2 linked regions of the Schizosaccharomyces pombe genome follow. The protein of the gene in region 1 interacts with the protein of each later gene in a biochemical or structural test. Each region holds a gene or a part of one and is shown on either strand. Other genes may lie near its edges.

The links.
Region 2: the proteins of rsp1 (region 1) and ips1 form a complex in vitro, tested with the Schizosaccharomyces pombe proteins (one study listed by BioGRID).

The regions. Positions count from the first base shown.
Region 1 is NC_003423.3:1,492,552-1,497,649, forward strand, and holds rsp1 (random septum position protein, DNAJ domain protein Rsp1), read right to left. Parts: upstream 2,601-5,098; 5' UTR 2,003-2,600; coding exon 518-2,002; 3' UTR 501-517; downstream 1-500. Other genes in the region: mrps28 (mitochondrial 37S ribosomal protein uS15m), read right to left, coding at 1-270; sws1 (SWIM domain-containing Srs2-interacting protein 1), read left to right, coding at 2,601-3,230; aminophospholipid translocase regulatory protein Ivn1, read right to left, coding at 3,545-4,468, 4,691-4,829, 4,888-4,940. UniProt on the Schizosaccharomyces pombe protein: Has a role in the proper organization of the interphase microtubule cytoskeleton.
Region 2 is NC_003423.3:1,315,599-1,320,465, reverse strand, and holds ips1 (GIDA family tRNA uridine 5-carboxymethylaminomethyl modification enzyme), read left to right. Parts: upstream 1-1,971; 5' UTR 1,972-2,089; coding exon 2,090-4,090; 3' UTR 4,091-4,246; downstream 4,247-4,867. Other genes in the region: transcription factor TFIIH complex subunit Tfb4, read left to right, coding at 1-783, 846-928; karyopherin/importin beta family nuclear export signal receptor Kap109, read right to left, coding at 4,283-4,867.

The sequences.
Region 1 (5,098 bases):
CACCAATATTTCGTACGGCTTTAATAATCTCGCTATCCATTCACTCGAATGTCCGATGATAGGGTCAGCTAATGTATCCAAATTTTGCTTTCGCAGCTCTTCCCTTCTTTTCAAATTTTGTTTGCGACGTTGGTTGGCTTTTTGTTTTTTTAAACCTTGTAAAATGCATGTTGTATGAAACTGAGACTTTTTGTTTAATAAAAGGCATTGTTGCATCAAGTTTGTAGACGCCAATTTCCAAGGCTGAAAAGCCCCTTCAAAAAGTCTCATCTTAAATTAACTGAGTAATGTAAAATAAAATGAAAAGTCGTGCTACAATTCGCTCCCTGAGTAAGCTATTAAACACATGCCCTTTTTACAAAGTCGTTGGTTCTGGTGTATGCTTGAAGTATGGGTAAGTGAACTGGGTAAAAAATAATATTAATAAATTGAATGTTAAACGTTATGAAGAAGAAATAAAATTTTCAAATAAAAATTTTAATACTAAATTTAATACTTAATGAGGAAATAATAATCATTATATACCAAAAGATGCGAAAAGGCTTTCCTTTAAAGATTGTAGTTCTTCCAAAGCTCTCAAATGCATTTGTTCATATGCATAAAATAACTGTATAGCTTGTGACCCTTCCTTCCAATTATCAATTAATCGTGATTGTCCAGGAGTATTCATTAAGTCGAGTTGGAAGCATTTATTTTTGAAGATTTGCCATTGAAATGCATACTGTGTATAAATGATAGAATAAGACGACCAGCGTCTCTGATACATTTCAAAGGAATTTAGATAGCTATCTACAGAGGCATTAGTCAGGTTTCTCGGTGCCTCTGGAGGGATGGGTGCCTGGATAGTTGGAACGGATGGAGGTTTGGGCAGCACTTTAGCAACTTCATCATCATCCCCTTCAATGGCAAGGGATCTCAGTATCGACTGAAGCTGGTCATCATACTCAGTCGAGTTAGATGTTGAATCGTTCTCTGCGGACAAGTCATTTAGCTGAGACCGAGTTTGATTTCGAGAAAGAGAAGAAGATTTAGAACGACTTAAGGGCTTAGGGGGTAAAGGTTTAGAAGTGGGATGTCTAAATGGAATTTCAGGTTTTGATGGTGAATTATTATCAGAATGCTCAAGTTTTATTTCAGGTGTGATATCAGTTTGATAAACGGATGGGTGCTCTGGAGTGTTTGGAGAAGTAAAAATAATAGATTCTTCAGATGTATCTTTAAAACGTTCATTATTTGATGAAGAAGAACTTCTTGGAGAGGATTTTGTTATTGAAGAATTTTCAACACCATTGGAATTCAAACCATTGGATATCTCAGACAACGGAGTATAGGTGCGTCGCTTTTCACGAAGCGATTCTAAATACAACTTGGCATTAAATTTATTATAGTTAGGGCCTTTAAAACGAGGACTACTAGAAATTGGATCCACCACGTTTTCAGTAGCATATCCATTCTTCTTAAAAATTGGAGACGTTTTTGGATGCAAATAACCAGATGATATGTAGCTTTTTGAGGTAGATACCTCTTTAAAGCTATTGTTCTTTTCCATTTTTCCGGAAGCGGAAAAAGATCGATGAAGTGAGAAGTTTGTGATATTGTTATCTTTCGAATCTACGTTTTCCCGGTCTTGTTTCTTCTTTTTTTCAGCAAATTTGGTAGCCATTGTGACACTAACCTTGGATGCAACTTTCGTGGAAATATCATTCTTTGGTCCACTTTTTTTTGGACGGAATCGCAGCACCCCATCAGGGCGACCGGCTTCTAGTAATCTTCTTTGATCAAATAACTCTCGAAGCTTTGGATCCTTTAAAACTTCATGAGCTTTTTGTATCAACTGAAACTGTGGAAGAACCTCGGCTTCCCGACCGGGGTTACGATCGGGATGGTATCGTAAAACAAGCTTTAAATATTGCTGTCGAATTTCGACATAACTACTGGTACTTTCCGCTCCAAGGATGGTGTAATAATCCACAAATTCATCATGAAACGCCGTCCTCGCCATTCACGAGCCTTTAAAATATGCGACACCTTTCTTAAAAAGATAAAAAAGTTTGAAATTGGTTTATAAAACTTTTAAATTTCACCCAAGTAATGAAACCTTTGTAACTAACCGATTTTTGAGGTTTTCCTGAAACTGCTCGAAATAGTGTTTTCGACTTAAATTAACTTGTAAAACGTTCGTTCCTTTTTCTTTATTTTCGCAAATATTAGTTAAGAAAAATAAAACGAGTTAAAAATTTTAACGATTAAACTCTACTTTGTATCTTCTATACTTGACTAGAGCAAACAAAGACACCCCTCGAATTTGTGATTTTTACAACTTCATTAGTTTATAGCTTTGCTACGTGTTTTCCGCTTATTAGAACAAGCGAAAGCAAAGCAGATTTTTGCTGTTTTGCTTTTGGTAAGAGTTGATGAACAAAGAAGTAGTGATACTTTGAAACGAATTTGCTAATCTTTTTGAAGAGCCTATTCAATCATCCAAACTTGTCAGCATAAGTCAATAAATTAGATTATTATCTTCATTGTCATCAATTGTGTTTTCTGGATGTTGTTTGAGCTTTATGTTTTGGGGCATTGCTGAGTCTTAATAAACTTCAATGCAGCAGGGTCATTTTACTTCGAATAGTTACCACAGTAAAACTTTAAATAGTTCATCTCTACCTGTATCTTCAAAATTTTCTCACACTAATGATCCTGATGTTGAAGGCGTTGACAATGATAGTTTCTCCAAGGCATTGTGTAACAAAGATTTAGATCCTTCTTCCACTATTCGTTCAGTTATAAGCTCTTTATTAGATTCTTTACAAGATAAAGCGCTCCAACAGTCACCCAACACCTCTTTGTCAAAATTACTGTTGGAAGACCAGGATTTTGGAAGCTTGTGGTTGTCATTAAGTTTTATATTTTGTAACTACTGGCAACCTGCTATGCTGATTTTGGATTCTAAAAGCATTCATCCACTACCATTAACCGATGGTGAAGTTTTACATCGATGGGAATGTGAAGTGGATTCGAATAATAAAACTACGATTGATTTGAAGTATTGGTATTGTTCATGCTCTCAATTCTCTTACAATGCTTTTAATAGCTCGAGATCTTTTGACGAGCCAATGCCCAAAAATGAGCAAGAAACCTGGGGTGGAAGATGTCTTTCCCACCACCCTACGATTTGTTCCCATATTTTAGCTGCTTCGATTTTACGTGCTTGCCATAATCTGGTAATTTAAAAAACGTTAACCCAATTCGTTTAATTGTGACTTGACTATGATATTTAACAGTAAGGGCCGTTTAAATTGCTTTCTCAATGTAAAAGAAGAAAATACGATATGATATTCATACAACGTGATTAAAAAAAAATGTCTTATTCAGATTATGTTATGCTTTAGTTATGATGCAAGTTCATGAACCCTGAACTGGTATAAAAAAGAGAATATTGTAAGTGGAAGACGAAGCTAGCATAAGTGATTAAATGGAAAGTAAATTCCAAAATGTTCATGAAGTAGTATATGTAAAAATAAATGGTAAAGATACTCAAATTCGTTTATGAGCTTTTTCCTCTATTCCAAGATAGATATCTTGGATCGCCTACGCGTCTAGGTTTGATCAAGCAAGCAATACTAAGGATTACACCGCTCGCGGCGCAGAGCCCACCGATAACAAAATAAAGAATTCCTAAAAAGTAGTTCTTTCCTCCAATAACGGATGTTGTTGAAAACATAATAGTTTTCGTTCCTTTATATTCTGTGACAGGAAAGTTATAAGTGATATTCATTTCATAAATGCCAGGTTGAAGTGCAGTAGTAACGTTTCGAAGAGCAAGTTTGCTGAATGTTGGAAGAGCAGCAGCTCTCATCCAAATTTGAAAGGCATCCCATGTAGAAACATCGGGAATATTGTCGTCAGTATATCCATTGGGAAACATTTTTGCCCAATTTGGAGGTGGAACAATTTGGGAAGCATTGTACTTAGTTTTTTTGTATCTTTCTCTATCTTCCGGCCACGCAGTACCATTTGTAGTCATATTGTAAAGTCCAAGGGAATTTGAGCTATCAAAGGATTCGTATCGTAGAAGAGAAGAATAGCTATCGTTGAAAAGCGAGTTTGCGATAATGCCACAGGGGTAATAAGGTTTCCCTTCCTCATTTGCTTCTAACGGCTTGCAGAAACCATAGCTCTTCAGTTGTGCAACAGTTCGTGCTTCGCCTAGCAACTGAAACATATCGGCGCTAACAGTATATCGACGATGGTTTTGATAAAAATTTTTGAGACGATAAAAAGCAAACACGGGACTCGTCATTTCCTCAGGTATTTGGAAACGAAGAGTACATACATCGCCTGATGATTTCCACATCGCTGTTACATTTTTTACATTTTTATATTGGAACTCAATATTCGTGGAAGGAACTTGTTTAAACTCATCGCCTATATTCATGCAATCAGTATAGTCAATTCGCAGCTCTTTGACCTAATAAAATGTTGATTAGCAAATGATCTAGAAAAAATGATATTTTCGGTAACGTTCGGGCTACACGTGTGCTAACACCGACAAAGGATAAGGCTATAATCAGATAAAAATTATTCGCAAATAATCATATCTTTCCAAAATACAGTAATGTATTGCAAAATATACCCAGTTTATCAATTTGAAACATATAGCTCTATGGAAACGCGTGATGCTTAGACTTACCCGTCGACTGGCCACAAACATGCCAGCTCCCAAAGGAGCAAACACTATGCCTAATAAGAATAATAACGGCAAGACTGTCCATGGTGTGAATATAAACTGCCAAGCAGGAAGTGTTTGCTGAACAAACCGAGATTTGTCACTACATACGGATCAGTAAACCAATTTGCCAAAAAACGAATGTAATCAAGACAACTTACGGGCGCTTAAATCTCTTATGCTTTGGTTTTTTAACTATTTCTGTTTGACTCATAGTATATAATCAGGCATTCAACAATGCTTACGAATATGAAGAATGCAAGATTAACTTGGTCCTTGGTAAAAGTGCGAGACTGCGCAAAACTCCATCATCACCTTACTCTCTCGCTGTCACTTGGGTTAGCAGGTTATATGACACAATTTATATGTAAA
Region 2 (4,867 bases), 180 kb from region 1:
ATGCCTCGTGGGATATATCTGAAGACGCAAATGATACACCCAGTTTGCTTGTAGTTATATTAGACGCAAATCCTGCCTCATGGTACTCCCTTTCCAAAAAAGTGCCTGTTTCCAAGGTACTGGCAGATATTACGGTTTTTCTAAACGCACACTTAGCTTTTCATCATGATAATAGAGTTGCTGTGTTAGCTTCACACTCGGACAAGGTTGAATACCTATACCCTTCGATTGCACCTGAGCAAAAAGTCGCAGAAGTAGATCCTACCAAGGAGGCAAATACGTATCGAAAGTTTCGTGAGGTAGACGACTTAGTTTTATCTGGGATGAAGCGACTCATGAGTTCGACTGATAAAGTTTCAAGAAAAACGATGATTTCCGGAGCACTATCTAGAGCCCTTGCATATATCAATCAAGTTCAAAATAAAAATACTCTTCGTTCTCGAATTCTAATTTTCTCATTAACTGGTGATGTTGCTCTTCAGTATATTCCTACTATGAATTGTATATTTTGTGCTCAAAAGAAAAATATTCCAATTAACGTTTGCAACATTGAGGGAGGCACCCTGTTTTTAGAACAAGCAGCAGATGCCACAGGAGGGATTTACTTAAAAGTTGACAACCCCAAAGGCTTACTACAATATCTCATGATGTCGCTTTTTCCGGATCAAAATCTTCGAAAACACTTAAATACCCCAAACCAAGCGAATGTTGATTTTCGAGCTACATGTTTTTGCCACAAAAAGGTTTTGGATATTGGCTTTGTTTGCTCAGTTTGTCTATCAAGTAAGTAGTAACAAAGCTTTACGATAGGCTTTGAACATTTGACCTTTTGCTAACCTCTTTAGTATTTTGTGAACCACGGGTGCATTGTTCTACTTGTCATACCAAATTCACGGTAGAACCTATGTCAAAAAAATTGCACACTTGATAATTCGTTATATTATTATTAAACTATATATTTCTTTGTCTCACACCGGGTGTACAGCTTTATCATATTTGAAACCCTGTTTTTCATTACCTAAATCTCCTTATCCTGGTGATTTGTACAGTCTAGCTCTTTTTTTTTGGCGATTTTTACTTTCTGGCATTTTGATACACTTGAAATGTTAACATTTTTCGGAAGGATCAAACTATTTCCTTAAGGGGCATCCACAAGTAGAAACTTAACGTATAAGCAACTAATTCATTCCAACGTACCCTATTATTATTTATTTCCTTAGAGCTTCTTCTATTATTTCTTCAAGTTGCATTGGCTTCTTTCTTTTCCAAACAGTGCAGTAAGACGAAATTATATACTATTCTTTAATTAATTTACTAACGAATCATTAATGTTGAAGATGCTGACAGAAATTATTTCACAGGAACTTTCCTTTCTACTGTTTATAATCTATTGCATCTCTAATGTTGGTGCTTGATCATTTTAACAATGGCTTTTTTTAAGCTTTTTTAATCAGAAAAGTTATATTACATTGAGATCTATATGAATGCAATTTATAATGAATTGGTTTGATTATTGTAGTAAGGTTACGAATCTTGGTTTTTACATGTAACTCAACCTCTGAATTTCTGTACTGAGCAATAAAAGCGCGGATTGATAATTCATACTAATAGAGCCGGTTTACTTTTATTTGCCCGAATATTCTCAAACTCACAAGTGACGACAAGCTTGAAAAAAAAAAAGTATTTTCTTAAATTCGTTTATTCTGCAATCAGATATTCATAGTTTTTAAAAAAGGAAAAATAATAAAAAGGTTGTAATATATTTGTTCTAAATCTTCAGATTTCAGACGTAAATTAGTCTGATTAACCTTAGGAGCATTACAACCATTGCCTAATCTGTTGATAGATTCAATTACAAACTTCTGACATCCTGAATGTCTATTTTCCACTAATTTTAGAATTTTTGATTGACTGTGCTTTTTAACAGCTCTTTCCCGACTATATAGCGTTTTATTTCAGCAAGACCTCAACAACAAATTTATCATTAACCTTTACGCATAACTCAAATATATTTTGTGCATTTTTTTGTCGGTACTTTAACAAAAGGTCCTTATGTATGTTTTTGAAATAGTTTATTTGGGGTGAACAAATGTTTCGAACAACAAAGCGATATTTCTGCACCTCCTTCAATCGCCGGAAGAATGTCGTAGTGATAGGAGGTGGACACGCTGGCGTGGAAGCCGCTGCTGCTGCTTCTAGATTAGGTGCGAAAACTACTCTTTTAACAAAGTCCTTCGACAATATTGGACAAATGAGCTGTAATCCAGCTTTCGGTGGGATTGGAAAAGGAACACTAATGCGAGAAATAGATGCCTTGGGTGGTGTTGTCAGTGGTGTCTGCGATGAATCAGCAATTCAATTTCACATGTTGAACCGATCGAATGGACCAGCTGTATGGAGTCCCAGAGCACAAATGGATCGGTCGGTCTTCAAAAAAAATATGCAAAAAACTATTTCAACTTATAGAAAAAATCTTCAAGTTAGAGAAGGCGCGGCCGTCTCTATTAATGTTTTGACAGAAGACGATGGTAAACAAGTTTGTGATTCAATTGTTCTTGAAGATGGCACTGCTATTCCTGCCAGTTGTATAGTCATTACTACTGGTACTTTCTTAGGAGGACAAATAAATGTTGGTTTAACACAGTTAGCTGCTGGTCGATATGGCGAGCGACCTTCATTGCCTTTGAGTAAATGTCTTAGCAATTTAGGTTTTAAAATGGGTCGACTAAAAACAGGTACACCTCCCAGATTGAGCTCTCCCATAAATATATCAAAAATGACAGAGCAGACAGGTGACGAAATTCCAGAAACATTTAGTTTTTTAAATTTGGAAAGGGATTTTTCACCGGCATTGCCACAACGTTCTTGCTACAGAACTTATACAACTGAATTGACGCATGAAATTGTTAGGAAAAATCTCGCTTTTGCTCCCCATATGCTTGCTGGTGATATTCTTTCTCCAAGGTATTGCCCGTCATTGGAAGCCAAGGTTACAAGATTCCCTCACAAAGCAAGACATCTTATTTGGCTGGAACCGGAAGGATTGGACCCCAATTCTTGGTGGTATCCCAATGGTCTCAGTAACTCAATGCCTGAAGAAATTCAGCACAATATAATAAGGTCTATTCCAGGCCTGGAGAATTGTAATATTGTGAGACCAGCTTATGGAGTTATGTATGATTATGTTATCCCCACCCAACTAAAGGCAACACTGGAAACAAAAAAAATTCAGGGTTTGTACTTGGCCGGTCAAATAAATGGAACGACGGGTTATGAAGAAGCAGCAGCGCAAGGTATCTTAGCTGGCTTAAATGCAGGTTTAAGTGCTCTTGGTCGTGAGCCAGTAGACATACCGAGAAATACAGCTTTGCTTGGAGTAATGGTCGATGATCTTATTACAAAAGGTGTGAAAGAACCTTATAGGGTGTTCACTTCGAGAAGCGAGTATAGGTTAACTACACGTGCTGATAATGCTGATTTAAGATTGACTCCATTAGCTCAAAGTATAGGTTTATTGGACGACCAAACTCATTGGGAAAGCTTTCAAAGAACTAAATCTTTGTTAGATTTTTCCAATAAAATCGCCAAGGAGTTCATTTTAAGTCCTCAGCAATGGTCAAAGCTAGGAATGCCGATTCCTAATGACGGGAAATATAGAAGTGCTTGGGATCTGTTGAGCTTCACAAATTTGGATCTTTTTTGTGTTATTTCGTGCATTCCTAAACTAAAGGACATTCCCAAAAGGGTACTACAACGTTTAATAATTGAGGGAAAGTATACTTATTATATAAAGCGTCAAGGTACTCAAAATAAACAACTCAATTGTAGAGATGAATCTACAGTAATACCCTCAGATTTTGATTTTGATACTTTACATTCTGTTTCGGCTGAAGAATTAATGCTGCTGAAGACGATTCGTCCAGCTACAATTGGTCAACTGAAACGCATTCAAGGGATTAAACCAGGAACTATTATTCGACTACTTCGCCATACATATTACAACCCAGCAAAAGAGGCATGGTTACGAAAGGTATATATGCCAATGTATGATATGCATTCGAGCGAAGAAAACCAATCTACAAATTTATAACTCTCGACTTAATTTTCACTATATAATAGGATAAAATAATGATATGAATCTCATTTAAAAAATATTTGACAACCAAATACAATTTTTAATAAATGCTTCTCTATGAAAACATTTATTTTCTAAATTTACACCCAAATTTTTAAACAAAAACATCAAGAAAGTTGATTTCTGATGATTTTCATTTCATAAATATTAGATCACGTAACCATATGATTGAAGCACGCTTTGACCGTCGCCAGGAAGATGCGTGCTAATGATTTGAGATAAACGTCCACCCATATTTCTGTTAGCAAGATTCATTTCCGTAGCACAATACTGCTTAAGGTCAGTAATTTGAGGGAATGGATCAACCCTCTTTCCGCCAGTAGTAGCCAATCTGGAAAAGGAAGCTTGGAATGACATCGAATCAGCATCGATTTCGTCCATAAACAATTCTTCATCTGCATCTGTTTGAGCTTGTTCAATAGGCATTTCGAATAATTTGAGGATACAAGTTAATAATGGGATAATAAGATTCTCATAAATTGCGTCTGGGGCGAGTACTAGATCACAAGTAAGAAGTCGCAGTAATCCAAGAGCACTGATTTTCCTATCTAATGGAAGCGCCAATTTTTGTGCTTGAGGAAGAATAATTGAAGTCATCAATTGGCCAAATACTCCAGACTGGACTGCATCAACACCTTGGATCAAATTATCTGGGCCGCAAGTACCCGTTTGCTCAGAAGCAACAAAAAAGAAGAAAATCGTGCATCGCAGAACGAAACGCTCAGTCCTCGA